3 linked regions of the Canis lupus familiaris genome follow. The protein of the gene in region 1 purifies or fractionates together with the protein of each later gene. This does not show direct contact. Links are inferred from orthologs where the notes say so. Each region holds a gene or a part of one and is shown on either strand. Other genes may lie near its edges. The genes, in order: SPDYC, CDK1 and CDK2.

Region 1 (3,896 bases):
TTGAGCACAGCTCCAGGCACTTAGGAAGCCCTCAGTGGTGGCTGTTGCTGCTATGCTTACTCTCCAGCTTGGCCTGGGGCCCCAGGATGGGGTGGGGGGAGCTGCAGCCTCCAGGAATTCTGCTGCTTCTCTGGTCTCCTCACCCCACACGTATGCCCATTTCTAGTCTGCTCCGAGCACTGCACTCCCACCCTCCCAAGTCTCCATGCTCATCTCACCACTTCCTGGAGGTCTTTTGTCAGGCCAGCCTCAAAAACCCCCTTGATTTGTGGGGAGCGAGGGGGTAGGTGCTAATCCTGAGGCTACTTTCTCTACAGGCCATCCTGCCCCACCCCACCCGTCCCCATCCCCTAGGAGATGAGTGACGCTCAAGACTTTGCCACTTTCCCAGTGGTTGCCACCCAGGTGAAGCTGGGGGGCTGGAGCCATCAACGTGGGGGTAGTGGGTCTGTTCATCCACGCCGGCACCAGGAGCTCCAGGCTTTTCTCAACCTTCTGGGTGAGTTCACTCAGGGACTGGCGTGGAAGCATCTGTGAGGACCAAGTGTGAAACTGAAGTGAAGGTGGGGGGGACATTCACCCGCCATGCAAGTATCAGCAATCTCTGCCCCTTCCCTTCTCAGGTGACCCCAGTTTGGCAAGGGGAGGGGAGGGGTCCTGTCAGAATGTGGGTTCAGTGGAGGTTTGAGCTTTGGAACTCTGATGCCACTCTTGTCTCGTGGGGGCTGGTGGTAACCCCAGTCCACCATTCCTCTTCTCTACTCCAGAGCACAGTTTCCTCCAGGAATTCCTTTCCAGAGATCCCTGTTTCCAGATTTCGGATAAGGTGAGGTGACACTGGGAACAGAGGCTGGGAGTCACCTGGGGCGGTCTGAATTAGTGGAGCTTGAATGCTGCTATTTCACTGGGCCTCCTGGTCTGGTACTGGGAGCATTTCTTTTTCTTTTTCTTTTTCTTTTTTTTTTTTAAGATTTTATATATTTATTCATGAGAGTCACTGAGAGAGGCAGAGACATAGGCAGAGGGAGAAGCAGGCTTCCTATGGGGAGCCTGATGCAGGACTTAATCCCAGGACCCTGGGATCACGACCTGAGCCAAAGGCAGATGCTCAAACACTGAGCCACCCAGGAGTCCTGAGCATCTCTCTTTTAAGTCTGTTTTTACCTGACCACTTCCCCTGGGTTTTCTGACCCACACCGCGGCTTCCTTGGGTGTAAATGGGCCTGGCACAGTCCCCTCTCCTGCAGGCCTCACTGTAACCTCTCCCCCTTTCTGTGTCTGCAGTATCTCCTGGCCATGGTGCTGGTCTACTTTCGGCGTGCCAACCTGAAGCTCAGCGAGTACACCCATAGCAACTTGTTCTTGGCCCTGTGAGTGGCCCTGGGTGGTGGGGACATTCATAAGGAGTTGTAGGATGGGGCAGTGCAGGTGCTTATGGCCTCTGCTCTCTGCCTGCTGTCTCCATGACTAGGTTTCTTGCAAACGACATGGAGGAGGATCTTGAGGACCCTAAATGTGTGATTTTCCTGTGGGCCCTGGGAAAAGATTGGCGTTGTCGGGTAGCAGACTTCCTACATCAAAGGGATAAGCTGTGGGCCCGGATGGGCTTCCGGGCCATGGTGAGCCGCCAGTGCTGTGAGGAGGTGAGGCCCCACCATCAACCCGGGTTGGGGAAACAAGGTTGGACTTCCCACCCCCACTTACTGTGTACTCTACTCATGCCAGGTCATGGCCAAGGAGCCGTCCCACTGGGCCTGGACTCGAGAGCGGCGTCCCCACCACGGTGGGGCTCAGAGGGGCTGCACAAAACCCCGAGTTGCCCTCCCCGGGGGCCCCGGCCTCTCACCACCTGCCTGTTCCCTCTGTAGTTTGCCCTCTTCCCCCAGCCACTGCAGCCACCAGCCCCACCCCTTGCCTGTCTTGTTCAAGTGTCCTTCCCCAAACCCTGAGCGACACTGCCCTGACCCGCAAGCTTGTCTTTCGGTGGCTGGAGACCCCTTGGGGGGGGGCTTCCTCATCATCCTGCCCCCCCAACTGCAACTAGAGCCAGGCACCTACACTCTCTATAGTGAGTTGGGGACAGCAGCTGGGGGTGGGCTTAGGAGCCTGGGAGGTGGGTGTGGGGCTTGACAGAATGGGAAGGAGGGGCATAGGGCCTGGGGTCCAGCAGGCCTGGGCACCTGTCCCACCTTTGCCAACTCCTACTTGTTTGCTTTTGCTAAGTGTCCTCTCTGAGCCTCTCTTTGTCCTTTCTCTCTAGTCCTCCCGAAGCCTCCACCATGCCCTGGGCACTGACATGTGCAGAGTGAAGAGCAGCCCACCTCCTTGCCTGCTGACCTAAGCCCCACTGGCTGTGGCCCCCTGGCCTTCTGTCTTATTGGCTTCAGGCTGGCAGTGCTGCCCAGGTCCCCTGTCACCTCCTCCCAACTGTATGCACTCTGACCCTGGCCCCTCTAATAAACTCGTGTCTATAGGACACCAACTGTGCTTAGGCCCTGGCCTGGCTCCTTGACCCAGGGTCGGGGTAGGGACGAAATTGGAGAGGGAATCCTTTTTTTTTTTTTTTTTTTTAATTTTTATTTATTTATGATAGTCACAGAGAGAGAGAGAGAGAGAGGCAGAGACACAGGCAGAGGGAGAAGCAGGCTCCATGCACCGGGAGCCCGACGTGGGATTCGATCCCGGGTCTCCAGGATCGCGCCCTGGGCCAAAGGCAGGTGCCAAACCATTGTGCCACCCAGGGATCCCTGGAGAGGGAATCCTGCCGGGTTTAGGTACCAGTGATTGAGACTCGTGAGCACGGGCTCTGTAATAACAATTCCTCTTTCCATTGATGACCCCTTTCCATTGATGACCAGTCATCCTGAACTGCTATTTCACTGGGCCTCTATATGTTTCCCCTCTATAATGTCACCCATAAATGATGAAATCTACACAGTGTGGATGAAGTTGAATGAGAAAAAGTATATGCAGCCCTTACAAGAGGCCCTGGAACCTCTAGGACAAAAAAAGCTTAAATGGTGAAGCCCCCTAGAGTTAGCCTAGACATACCTGCAAGGGCCAGGTCTGCTTAGGAATAAGACCTGGTCCCTTCGCTGGGCTGCAATAAAATATAATGCAATTATTATAATACTTGTCCCCTGTCCCCAAGAGGAAATTTGTCAATGAGGGAGCAGAGAAGGCTTTCCAGAGGAGGTGGCATTAGAGCTGGGCCTTGACCAATGTCAAGTTTGCCCATGGAGGGGCAGAAGTCATGAGGTAGGCTATTCTAGAAGATTATTCCAGAGGAATAGATTAGACTTGGTCTCTGATGCCAGACAGCTTCTATCTAACTTCTAGGTTTCTATGTGACCTTGTCATATTACTTAATCGCCATAGCGTCATCCACAAAATGGATATTATACTTAAATTGGGTGTTGTGAGATTCGAATGCATTAATCCTAGAAGTGTTTACAACAGTCTCGGGCAGCCTGGGTGAGTCAGGGGTTTAGCGCTGCCTTCAGCCCAGGGCATGATCCTAGAGACCCGGGATCAAGTCCCACATCAGGCTCCCTGCATGGAGCCTGCTTCTCCCTCTGCCTATGTCTTTGCCTCTCTCTCTCTCATGAATAAATAAATAGAATCTTGAAAAAAGAAAAGAACAATCTCAAGAACAGAGCTCAGATGTGAGGCCTGCGTGTTCCTGGTAGAGGAAATGGCTGCCTAGGGATGGTCTGGAGGGAAGGGTGTGTTTGGGGAGTGGCTGGAGCTGAAGCTGAAGTCCACATGGGTCAGAGAGGGGAATCTGGGCACCCTTCCTATGCATGCTCTATGAGTGGCTCCCAAGAAGCATGGAAGTAAAAAAGCTGGGAGATAGCAGACATTAGAAGCCAAGACAAGGGCTACAAAGTATTTTT
Region 2 (5,579 bases), on another chromosome or scaffold:
CTTTCCAGTACTCCGCCCCTAGATTTTAGTAGTATTCCTTGTACAAATACGGTTTTGAAACACACTAAAAATATACTGATTGGAAATATCCCTCAAACAGACCTACATAAATTACTCTAATAGCAAATTGCTTTGCATAAAGGTGTACCATTTGTTCCTATAGAGTTTAGAACGTTAATACCAACTCTTATACAGAAACTTATATATTCTTTTTGGGGAAAAAAAAAAGTAAAGGGATTTTTACCCTTCCACTTGTGCCATATAAACATTCTTTAAAAACTTCAATGAAAGTACTACAGAGGGGAATGATCATATACAAGAGTTACTGGTTTTAGGGACACCTGGGTAGCTCAGTTGTTTAAGTGCCTGCCTTCAGCTCAAGTCATAATCCCAGAGTCCTGGGATCAAGCCCTATATCAAGTTCCTGCTCTGTGGAGAGCCTGCTTCTTCCTCTGAGCCTCCCCCTGCTTTCTCTCTCTCTCTCTCTCTAATGGATAAATAAAATCTTTAAAAAAAAAAGTTGTTTTAGAATTGCTTAAGCAGGTATACATGACATGTCATTTAAATCAAGGGAAATTAAAAAATTTATTTAAATTGGTTTAATAGGGATCCCTGGGTGGCGCAGCGGTTTAGCGCCTGCCTTTGGCCCAGGGCGCGATCCTGGAGACCAGGGATCGAATCCCACATCGGGCTCCTGGTGCATAGAGCCTGCTTCTCCCTCTGCCTATGTCTCTGCCTCTCTCTCTCTCTCTCTCTCTCTGTGTGACTATCATAAATAAATAAAAATTAAAAAATAAATAAATAAATAAATAAATTGGTTTAATAGTCTATTATACTAGTTTAGAAAGTTTGGGTAAAAGCACTTAAAAAGAATTGTACATGATTAAAAGTACACTATTAAACTTAATAGAATTCTACTGCCCTAGGCGTATCTGGGTGGCTCAGTCGATTAAGCGTCTGCCTTCAGCTCAGGTCCTGATCCCAGAGTTCTGGGATACAGACCCGCATGGACTCCCTGTTCATTCAGCAAGGAGCCAGTTTTTCCCTCTCCCTCTGAAGCTCCCCCTGCTTGTGCTCTCTCAAGTAAATAAATAAAAATCTTAAAAAAAAAAAAAAAAAATTCTACTTCCCTAACCTCTCCCCACCAAAACATAACACAAGATCTCAATAGTGTTTTCAAAATACAAATATTGCTTTAAGTGTTTAGTACTTAAAAAATATAAGATTTTTAGGGGGATGGGAGAGGGTTGGCAGGGAATCCTATCAGAATAATTTCAATTTTCTTGAAATCTGAACATTTTGTGCATATGTTACCATGTAAAGAACATATAATCAAGGCACATTAGCACTGAAGGACACCTTAAAGATTGGATTTCAATAAATATTTACAGGTTTTCATGTCCCAGATATTAGAGCATTACCAAATCATTTTTTAACTCTTTTATTATTAAAACCACTCACCTTCTCCAATTTTCTCTATTTTGGTATAATCTTCCATAGTTAATCAACAGATACGGTAGGATCCTAAAATGAGAGAAAAAATTAATTTGATCATATGCCACTAACTCAAAAGATGGTTTTAAGTTTTTAATGATAGTATAAAGCATTTTCCAGTGTCTACTGCAGTATTAATTTCCCATAAATACTAATTATGTTAAAACATTTACAAGGGAAGGGACCTTTGCAATAAGATTTTTCCACCTTTTTTAGCTCTTAAAACATTGGATTTGTATATCTTAGCCAGTGTAGTACTTTGCTTCTTGCAATCAGATTAACCCTCAAATTCAGGTATCAAACTTATCTATCCCTCCCAAACAAAAAAACAAGTGTGTTTCTTTATGTAACACTTCTAAGGAGCATCAATTTCTGCCAGTTATACCCAGCCATTTCCACAAATGTTATTTGTGTTAAGTAAGTCAAATAATGTTATTTGACTGAATTTGTACCCCTTTTCTAAGAAAATTCAAAAGGAAAAAAGTTTTAATGACACAAATAGAGCTACTGTGGCCGTAATAATCAACCACCATCAGCAAGACTGCTTAAACGTCAGTTGAGAGGCTGACAAGACCTTCAAGACGTCCTCAGCTGAGAAGTTTGCCAAAGAAATCTTCACTTCAGAAGCCCAGAGTAGAATTACCTTGACTTTCTAACACACTCATCCCTGATAAGATTACGTACATAGGTCACTGGGTAGTCGACGCTCGCACTGGTCTCCGGGATCATGCCAGAAGTAGAAGCAAGAAAATCTTTTTAAATGAACGAAGTTGCACTACACTGGCTAGGAGTTCCCATCTTAGACATTTTTAATTTTACAGAACGGTAATCATCCCTTCTACGACGCCCAGATTTAACACGCCTGACGAACAATCCAACTGTCGAGCTCGCTCTGAGCAAGCCTTTCAAAGCTGGGTTTCCTAGGCCTCGCCGGCTCTCCGTGTCGCTGCTGTGACAATCTCACAGAGAGGACGCGGCTTCACAAAGCCTCTGGAGGCCCTGCCCCTGGGGCCCGGCACCGCGACACCACAGCTTCGTCTCCTACCCAGAGGCCTCCAGGTCTTTGAAGCAAGCAAGCAGGCGTGCACATGGGGAGCTCTAGTGTTAAACAAAGACCGATCAGGAATACTGAGCACACGCGTATGTGCTTTCTCGAGGCGTTTCTGAGCCTTCCCTGTGGGCCGATGGCACAGCACATACAACAGCTTAGAGTCAAGGGGCCACCCCGAGCTTCCTCCTCCTCTGGTTCTGTCCTTGGCCGGGTCTCTCCACAGCTCCGGGCGCGCCAGGGCCGCGGGCGCAGGGAACCCCGGGGAGGCCCACAGGCCAGCGGGGCCCGCCGGCGCTCCCACGCGGGCACCTGGCCCAGGTGGGGTCTGGCCGGCCACGCCAGGGAGCAGGGCGGCGCGCGCGGGGCCCAGGCCGGAGCCCGGCAATCGGCGTCGTCCGGCCGGCGCCACGCCCCGACGGCCTCCTCAGCCGGCCGGCGGCCTCACCCGCCCGGGAGCGCGCCCGCCGCGTCGGGGCTCCCGCCAGCCTCCCCGGAGGGCCGGGCCCCGGGGCCCCAGCGAGGGCGCGGCCTAGGATCCGGAGGCCCGGCCCGGCCCGGCCCGGCCCCGCGCGGCCCCCCGCGGCCTCCCACCACCAGCCGCGGCCTCCGAGCCGGGCCCCGCGGCGCAGACGCCCCGCAGGAACGACCCTGACCTCAGCGAGGCCGCCCGCCTTACTGTCCCGCGGCGAAAGCAGCGGCCGCCTCCACGTCCGCGTCGCTCTCGCCTCAACTTCCCAGAGCCAGCTTTGAAGCGGAGCGCGAGCTGTTTCAAACTCACCGCGCTAAAGGGCCGGGGGCCCGCCAATCAGGCAGCCCGTAGACTTTCAAAGGAGCCAATCGGAGCTCAGCGACGCTCGGGGCTGGGCTTCCCGGGAGGCCGAAGCGCGAAAGAGGGTGGAAACGGCGGCTGGCGAAAAAGCAGGAGGGCGGGCGCCAACTGAGTCCCAGCGCAGGCGCTTTCTTTCATCGCTGGGGAGCGTCGTCCTACTGCTTCTGGTCGTCGGAAATCTACTGTTGGCCCTGGGTCGGGTTCTTCCCTGTTCAGTATTGGCACAATTAAAACGTACTGCACTCAGCTCTCTCATCACAAAAGCGATGCTACCTTGACATTCAGATTCCATCACTTTCACTTCTAATACTTAAAGCTACCGTAAATGGTGTTTTTCTAAGTGGGTGATTTTCCGGCTGGGCCAAAGGAATCCATTTCACACACGCATATATGCTTTGTTTTTACTTTATTTTCAGAATTTTAAAGTTTCCATTTACTTAAAATTCCATGTATTTAAAAATGAAAGACAAAATTTTACATTTTTAGATTTTTAAATATTTTCACAACAGAATTTTAGTTTTTTAGAACACAAAAATTCACAAGTCTTTGGGGGGGGGGGAGACCTAAATTATACTTTAAATAACTAAGTATCAAAAACTCTCTCTCTCTCTCTCTCTCTCTCACTGCCCTCCACAATAACCTTAAGAGAGATGTTTGCACTTGAACATCATTCTTTCAGTCTTTAAAAAATAAAATAGAACTGGCAATAAGAGTCACCTAATAAGGGCTGCTCTTAATGGAATGTAGAACAAGGATGGATTACCATGAACGCTACAAAGACCTGTCAGAAGAGCCAGATTAGGTGCTGGCTTGGACAGCAATGTGCTAAAATTGGAACAAAACAGATTAAGTTGGTCCCTGCGCAAAGATGACGCACAAATTCTTGAACTGTTCCATATACCAAAAAAAAAAAAAAAAAAGACCCAGATTAGGATAAACAATGAGCTAGTATATCACATGCATGTAAGTGTTTAGTACCTTTTTTACACAGTGAGAAGCATCTGTCATCTGGCACCATTTGTGGTACCAACACATGGTCTTAACAATTTTGTGCTCCTAGGTGACAGAGCACTTGGGGTTCACATTGGAGGTAGGTGGTTGTGAAATCTCTGCCTGAACCTAAGAACTTGTAAAACTTACTTTTCAACACCCAAGTTCACATTTTAAATGAAAATTGACTACCCCAGAGAAGTACTCTAGGGAAGATGACTGTTCTCTGTCAGTTCAGGGTACTGATTTTAATGAGTGCATGTAGATATTTCTCTCTGGGAGGCCTCAACAAGGCATTCATTTTATAGCACCTAATAACAGCTTATAATTCATTATATCCATTTTACATTCAACATGAAGATCACAAGCTTCTATAGCTGTGATGCTAGATTTTTCATTTTAACTCAATTATCTTTGTTTTTAAACTTTAAGGGGTTATTGTAAATTCATCCTAGCATCTTAGCAAATTCAGTTTATTAATTCTTTGGGCCAACTTGAATTTAGGGTCTCTAAAGTACTTTATGGACAGAAAATTAATCAGATACAATTCTTGCTTAGGCTTGGGGGTGGGAGAACACAGGATTAGAATTTTATGATGGTACTTATGTTGTAACTTATGCTATAAAGTGACATGAGAACAGAGAGAGGTAAATCACCAAATTCAAACAGACACTGGAGAAAGAACTGTGGAGTGGGGCTTCCAAACAGTAAGCATTGAAAATCTATCTGAATAATTCAGGATGCCTCCAATTGTAGGGTACAGGGAGTCCACAGGCAGGCGACCATTGGAGGCTGCAGGGCCTCTGGGATGTGAAGCAGGGAAGAGAGTTTGGAATGAGAATCTTGAAGAGCCCTGAATAATGTCCTAAGGGGCTGCACAAGAGAAGTATTTTTTTTTTCTTTAGATTTTATTTATTTATCTGAGACCGAAAGAGAGGAAGATAGAGAAAGCGTGAGTTGGGAGAAGGGGCAGACTTCTTGTGGAGCAGGAAGCAGGCAATAGGGGGAGATCCTCCACCCTGGGGTCATGACCTGAGTCTAAGGCACATGCTTAACTGACCGAGCCACCCAAGTGCCCCAGAACTATTTTAGAACTATTCTCCAGGAGTTGTGAAAAAACAATGAAAGAAGAGAGGATGGAAAGGCATGTGCTACAAAAAGTAGCATATTTATATTTCAGAGAATTCCATTTAGAAAAAAAGGAAAAGATCAGTT
Region 3 (5,349 bases), on another chromosome or scaffold:
GTAAAGAGGATGGATCTATAGGCAGGCAGTGGTTGGGGCAAGCAGCCAAAATTATTATAACTGACTAAGAGAGAGGTCTAAGAAAAAGGGATATGATGGATCTACTTACACCTCACCCAGATGCAACAACTATCATTTTGCCACATTTGCTTTATCTATCCTCTTTTGTTTGTTGGCTAAAGTATTTAAAAGCAAATTCCAGATATTTTGTTATTTTAACCCTACAATCTCAATACGTATCTGTAAAAAAATATGAACATTTTCTTGAATAAGCACAATGTCACTTCCCCCTAGACAAAATGATCAAACCCAATTCGTATAAAGTTTCATCTAAAAATGTCTTCTTATGACTTAAAAAAATCATTATCCAAAAAGTAAGCACCATCTTTTAAGAGGCTCAGGTGCACAAGAATGAAAAGAATATTTCCAGAATACATTAAGGAAATAGTAAAAGGCTTGAAACTGGAGCACAAATGAGGGAAGTCAGATCAGGAAAATTTCCTAGAAGTCTGTGAGACCAGGGATCTAGAGAGAGAAAGGGGAGACTAGGATATGATATCTATATTTTAGCACAGGAGAAACTCCTTTTCAATGTGTAGTGGAGACCTAGCTGAGTCTGCTGAGGGCGGGGGGGTGGGGGGTAGATCTAGAATAATCTCACTGAGCATCCCACCGCTAAAGCAAGAGAATCATAAGATACCCCATTCTTCACTCCCAACCCTCCCTCCTCAGAGCAGCACGGGACATTCCAGACCCTCTCACCACCCCCACCCCCACCCCTTGCTCCCGTCACGAGGCCCCAATCCCCCAGAGCCCTTTCATGTGATGCTCAGCTGAGACCCCTCTGCCTGTCTCTTCCAGCCCCAGGACAAAAGCCTGAGCTATATTTACCCATCCCCATTCCAAAGAGGGGAGGTGATACCTCCTTACCTTTTCTATCCACATCAATACCACATTCTCTTACTCCTTTCTTTTAAATACCCTATCCCAAGTGCCTGAGTCATTCCCTAAGTCTTCCACTTATTTCCCTTTCAAAGCCCCTGCTCCAGCTCATTGCCCCGGGGGTGGGGTGGGGGTGTCTCAGAATTAGAGCCCCAAAGACCTACTATCCTTTTGCCCTTCCAAGCAGATGGGATTATTTTCAGGCTCAGTCCCAAATTTCCACCTAGAGAGGGACTTCAGATGCCCATGTCCTCGCTAAATCAAATGGGTGGAAGAAGCCTGAAATATTGCTGGTATCTCCCATGAGGAGGGAGAAAAATCAGAGCAGGTGTGCAACCCCAAACTCCCACTTGTTCATGTCCATACTCCCCACACTAACCTTCTGTGGCCCCCACAGCCAGAAGAACACCCATCACAGCCACATGGAGAAGGCATTTTCTCGGCACCAGATTCATCTTGTTCTTTCTTCCAGCAACCAAAGGCGCTGGGGGTGCTGGGACAAGCCCCTATATAGGAGAGGGGTGCTCATTTGCATAGCCCATCCTCCTTTCCCTCCTGGAGAGGCTTGGGAGGGGCAGGAGGGCCAGAGAAATAACTGAAAAGGGATCCTGGTCCCTGGACATCCCGCTACTCAATGACAGTTTCTGGTTTCACTGGGTCACGACCTTCTTGACCGGGGAAACATGGACTGCAGGGCAGCTAGCTACATCGTGTGTACTCGACGCCTGCAGTGCACCACAGGCTAAGGGGATCAATCTGGTTTTTGAGTCAAACCAGGAAACCTCTCAAACAGATGGAGACCCTGCATCTCCAAACAGAGAGATAGGATAGGATAGGCAGAGAGGGGCGCGAACGACGTGTCCAAGGCCCAGGACACCCATACGATGAGATTCCTAGCTTCCTGCTTTTCAAAGGCGGTTCCCTGGGCCAGGTGGAATTCAATCTTAGGGCAAGACACATTTTCTCTGGGGTTGGCGAATCAGAGGTCAGGAAATCCCTCCAGGCCCAGGACACAGGAAGGAAGCTCGACTCCAAATTGGGTACTTGGAAAAAGACGTTTATTTAGCTTCCCCAAGGTGACAAACTTGTATCGAAGACCCTCGGTAGTAACCTTGCGCGAGGTGGGGTCACTGGCGGCAGCGACGCGCTGGGCTCGCCCCCCCGCTCTGACGCTGGCCAATGGGAAGGGCCGGGGGCGGGGCCAGGGAAACGCGGGAAGGAGGGGCGGGGCCTCCACTGGCGGTAGGGAACCCGAGGGGAGGCGGCAACATTGTTTCAAGTTGGACAAATTGACAAGAGCGAGAGATACACTCCGTTCCATCCCGACCTGAGGCCGCGGAGCTGGGCCCTGTTTCCCCTCCTCCAGCCCCCGAGAGCCGGGGCCCGCCTTTTGCTGGGTTCCCAGGCCCCCGCTCCGGGGCCGGGCTGACCCGACTCTAGCGCTTGCTTCATGGAGAACTTCCAAAAAGTGGAAAAGATCGGAGAGGGCACGTACGGAGTTGTGTACAAAGCCAAAAACAAAGTGACGGGAGAAGTGGTGGCGCTTAAAAAAATCCGCCTGGACACGTGAGTGGCCTCTGTACCCGGGACTCCTCTAACTCCGGAGCTTCTTGAGTGCCCCCCGCCCCCACCCCGACAGGCGGGTAGCCGTCCGAGGACCGGAAGGTAGCAGGGTGGGACTTCTTTCGAAGTGGAGAGGTGGGCTGGAGGACAGTGAAGGGTTTCCCTGTGCAGAGTATAGGGCACTGTAGAGTCTGTGGGAAACTTTCTCCCCAAAGCCGAGTGATGCCCCCAAACGTGTAGTCCGAAAGACTCAGGAAGAGGAAGGAGGCCTCTGAGGTGGGGGTCCAAGACTCCCCGTGGAGTTGAGGTCTGTGGGAACCGGTGAAGAGCACCTTTCTGAATGAAGAGCCCTCCTCACTGCCCCAACCCCACCCTCCTCTTAGAATTCTCTACCCCTTTCAAAAGAATGGCAGTTGAACCTCACTGGCCCGTCTAGGGAGGCTGGGTGCTGCTACTCTTCTTTCCTCCCGTTACCTTCTCTCTTCTTCACCTCCACCAGAAGGCTTTACTTACCTACCCGTGGGAGAAGAAGAAATAATGACCTTAACGTATCCAAAAAGCACCCCCCTGTCCACCTGTGAATTAACTCCTACAGCCCCCTTTCTCTTCTGTCACTTTCCTAGGGTGTGCTGGGGTGGTGTCTCGTTCGGAGACTGGGCTGGGGGAAAAGCAGTATTTGTAACCACATTCCTCTCTCTGCTTTCTCAACCTCCCCAAGTGAGACGGAGGGTGTACCCAGTACTGCTATACGAGAGATCTCCCTGCTTAAGGAGCTTAACCACCCGAACATTGTCAAGTAAGTATGTGTCTGGGAGATATTTCAGCGGTAAAAGAGAATGTCTTCTGTGAGGCCGGGGCATCGCTCTTCCTCACCTCCATTCCTGGACCTCCCTCCCTAGGCTATTGGATGTCATCCACACAGAAAACAAACTCTACCTGGTTTTTGAATTTCTGCACCAGGATCTGAAGAAATTTATGGATGCTTCTGCTTTGACTGGCATTCCTCTTCCCCTCATCAAGGTAATCCTTCTCATCAACTCCTCCCCCAACATGGGCACGTTTTGGGGGGACTGAAGGCAGGCAATTCAGACTGGGTGATGATCTGTGATCTTAGCTTCCTTCCCAGCCCTCATCCCCCTACACACACACACACACACACACACACACACACACACACACACCTTTCTTTTGTGGCTCTTTCACTGCTCATTATGCTTATTAACCCCTGGGCAGGGCAGGAGAATCAAAGAAGTTGAAACTCTAGTGAGTCAACTTTGTAGCTCAGGTGGAAGGTCAGATGAAACTCAGATAAACGAGACTGGAGGGTACTTGGTACTTGGTAGATTCCTCCAAGAACCCCTTCCACTAGTTTGGTAGGAGAAATAGCCAGTGAGTCTCTGTTGTCTGTCTTAGGGCTGGGTTCTCTGCTCCCTGAGCTATTTTCAATCTATCAACAAACATTTATTCGGTGCTCATTTACTGAACACCTTCAATGTGCTAGGCACAGAATATGGAAAAGAGATGCAAAACTAAATAGGACCCAGTCCTTATCTTCACTAGACTAGCAGTCCAATGGGAGATACAGCTTATAAACATGCAATTATAATCTAATACAGTAAAAGGCTTTAGTACAGCTTTGCAGGCAGAGTGGAGCCTAATAGCTCACTGTGGTCGAGAAACAAAGTCCTCTCTCTCTCCTTCGTCAGAGCTATCTGTTCCAGCTGCTCCAGGGCCTAGCCTTCTGCCATTCTCATCGGGTTCTGCACCGAGACCTCAAACCTCAGAATCTGCTTATCAACGCAGAGGGGGCCATCAAGCTAGCAGACTTTGGATTAGCCAGAGCCTTTGGAGTCCCTGTTCGTACTTACACCCATGAGGTGAGACCCTGTCTGCACTTCTTCTCTGAACTTTCTGGGAGGTGTTAACAAGGACATTTACAAAATGACTAAACCTATCTGGCCAGCAGTTTCTCTCTCCCTAGATGAAAGTATCTCTGGCACCCCAGGAGGTTTTAGAGTATGCACTGAGTTCATATTGCGGGGCTAGCTGGGCTTCAGTAGGTACCAAGCCAGCAGAGCTGGATGGCATATCATTAAAATTATGACCACTTCTCTCAGGAGTTTTCCAGGAAGGTTGAAAGTTTTGGGTTCAGAAAATAGGGTCTTTGGAGCCACAGGCGAGGCTAACTCTGGTCTAAGAAGTTGTGTGTAATCACTTTACGCAGGGGAAGTCAGAAAGATGGGAAAAGAAAGATAGAGGGAGAGAAGCTGCTTGTGATCAGGCTGAGAACTAGCAGAGTAACACCGAGGAGCTGACATGTGGGAATCACTGTGCCCCATGCACCACCTCTCCCCTTCTTGCTCTTGTTCCCAGGTGGTGACCCTGTGGTACCGAGCACCTGAAATCCTTCTGGGCTGCAAGTACTACTCCACAGCCGTAGATATCTGGAGCTTGGGCTGCATCTTTGCTGAGATGGTATGGAGGCAAGCCCGAGTTCCACCCAGCTCTCTCCTCCCCACATTCAAAAACAACAGAACTTTTTCTTGGCCTAGACTCATGGCCCTTCTATTATCTAGGATCCTTTCTCTTAGAGTAGGACCAAAGCGGGTACGGGGGAAAGGATAGGACTATCGTCCCTGAGGTCAACTACAATGTCAGTATATCCTCAAATGGCCTTAGCATTAAATACACGTCTCTTGTCCCCAAATTGAGCTAAATCATTTCTGCAACTGTTTTAGCTTTAGTCTGCATATATTTGGGAGAATGAGTACCTACCATTCAGTGCCTCCTTCATTTGGCCTGTAGACCTTCTAGTAAGGTCCCAGGAATATGGTGAAATCAACT

The links.
Region 2: the proteins of SPDYC (region 1) and CDK1 purify together in Homo sapiens (co-immunoprecipitation; 3 studies listed by BioGRID and IntAct, with this or other methods). This does not show direct contact. The link is inferred for Canis lupus familiaris from reciprocal best matches to the Homo sapiens genes SPDYC and CDK1.
Region 3: the proteins of SPDYC (region 1) and CDK2 purify together in Homo sapiens (co-immunoprecipitation; 3 studies listed by BioGRID and IntAct, with this or other methods). This does not show direct contact. The link is inferred for Canis lupus familiaris from reciprocal best matches to the Homo sapiens genes SPDYC and CDK2.

What each region holds. Positions count from the first base shown.
Region 1 is NC_049239.1:52,525,097-52,528,992, reverse strand, and holds the end of SPDYC (speedy protein C), read left to right. Parts: exon of another isoform or gene 1-317; 5' UTR 318-357; coding exon 358-499; intron 500-767; coding exon 768-826; intron 827-1,284; coding exon 1,285-1,370; intron 1,371-1,471; coding exon 1,472-1,643; intron 1,644-1,725; coding exon 1,726-2,068; intron 2,069-2,260; coding exon 2,261-2,295; coding exon of another isoform or gene 2,296-2,341; 3' UTR 2,342-2,528; downstream 2,529-3,896. UniProt on the Homo sapiens protein: Promotes progression through the cell cycle via binding and activation of CDK1 and CDK2. Involved in the spindle-assembly checkpoint. Required for recruitment of MAD2L1, BUBR1 and BUB1 to kinetochores.
Region 2 is NC_049225.1:13,553,725-13,559,303, reverse strand, and holds the start of CDK1 (cyclin-dependent kinase 1), read right to left. Parts: upstream 3,409-5,579; 5' UTR 3,324-3,408; exon of another isoform or gene 3,199-3,323; intron 2,822-3,198; exon of another isoform or gene 2,179-2,821; intron 1,525-2,178; 5' UTR 1,499-1,524; coding exon 1,462-1,498; intron 1-1,461. UniProt on the Homo sapiens protein: Plays a key role in the control of the eukaryotic cell cycle by modulating the centrosome cycle as well as mitotic onset; promotes G2-M transition via association with multiple interphase cyclins.
Region 3 is NC_049231.1:650,365-655,713, forward strand, and holds the start of CDK2 (cyclin-dependent kinase 2), read left to right. Parts: upstream 1-2,149; 5' UTR 2,150-2,392; coding exon 2,393-2,508; intron 2,509-2,635; exon of another isoform or gene 2,636-2,781; intron 2,782-2,838; exon of another isoform or gene 2,839-3,042; coding exon of another isoform or gene 3,043-3,053; intron 3,054-3,223; coding exon 3,224-3,301; intron 3,302-3,404; coding exon 3,405-3,525; intron 3,526-4,211; coding exon 4,212-4,382; intron 4,383-4,878; coding exon 4,879-4,980; intron 4,981-5,349. Other genes in the region: melanocyte protein PMEL precursor, read right to left, coding at 1,322-1,397. UniProt on the Homo sapiens protein: Serine/threonine-protein kinase involved in the control of the cell cycle; essential for meiosis, but dispensable for mitosis. Phosphorylates CABLES1, CTNNB1, CDK2AP2, ERCC6, NBN, USP37, p53/TP53, NPM1, CDK7, RB1, BRCA2, MYC, NPAT, EZH2.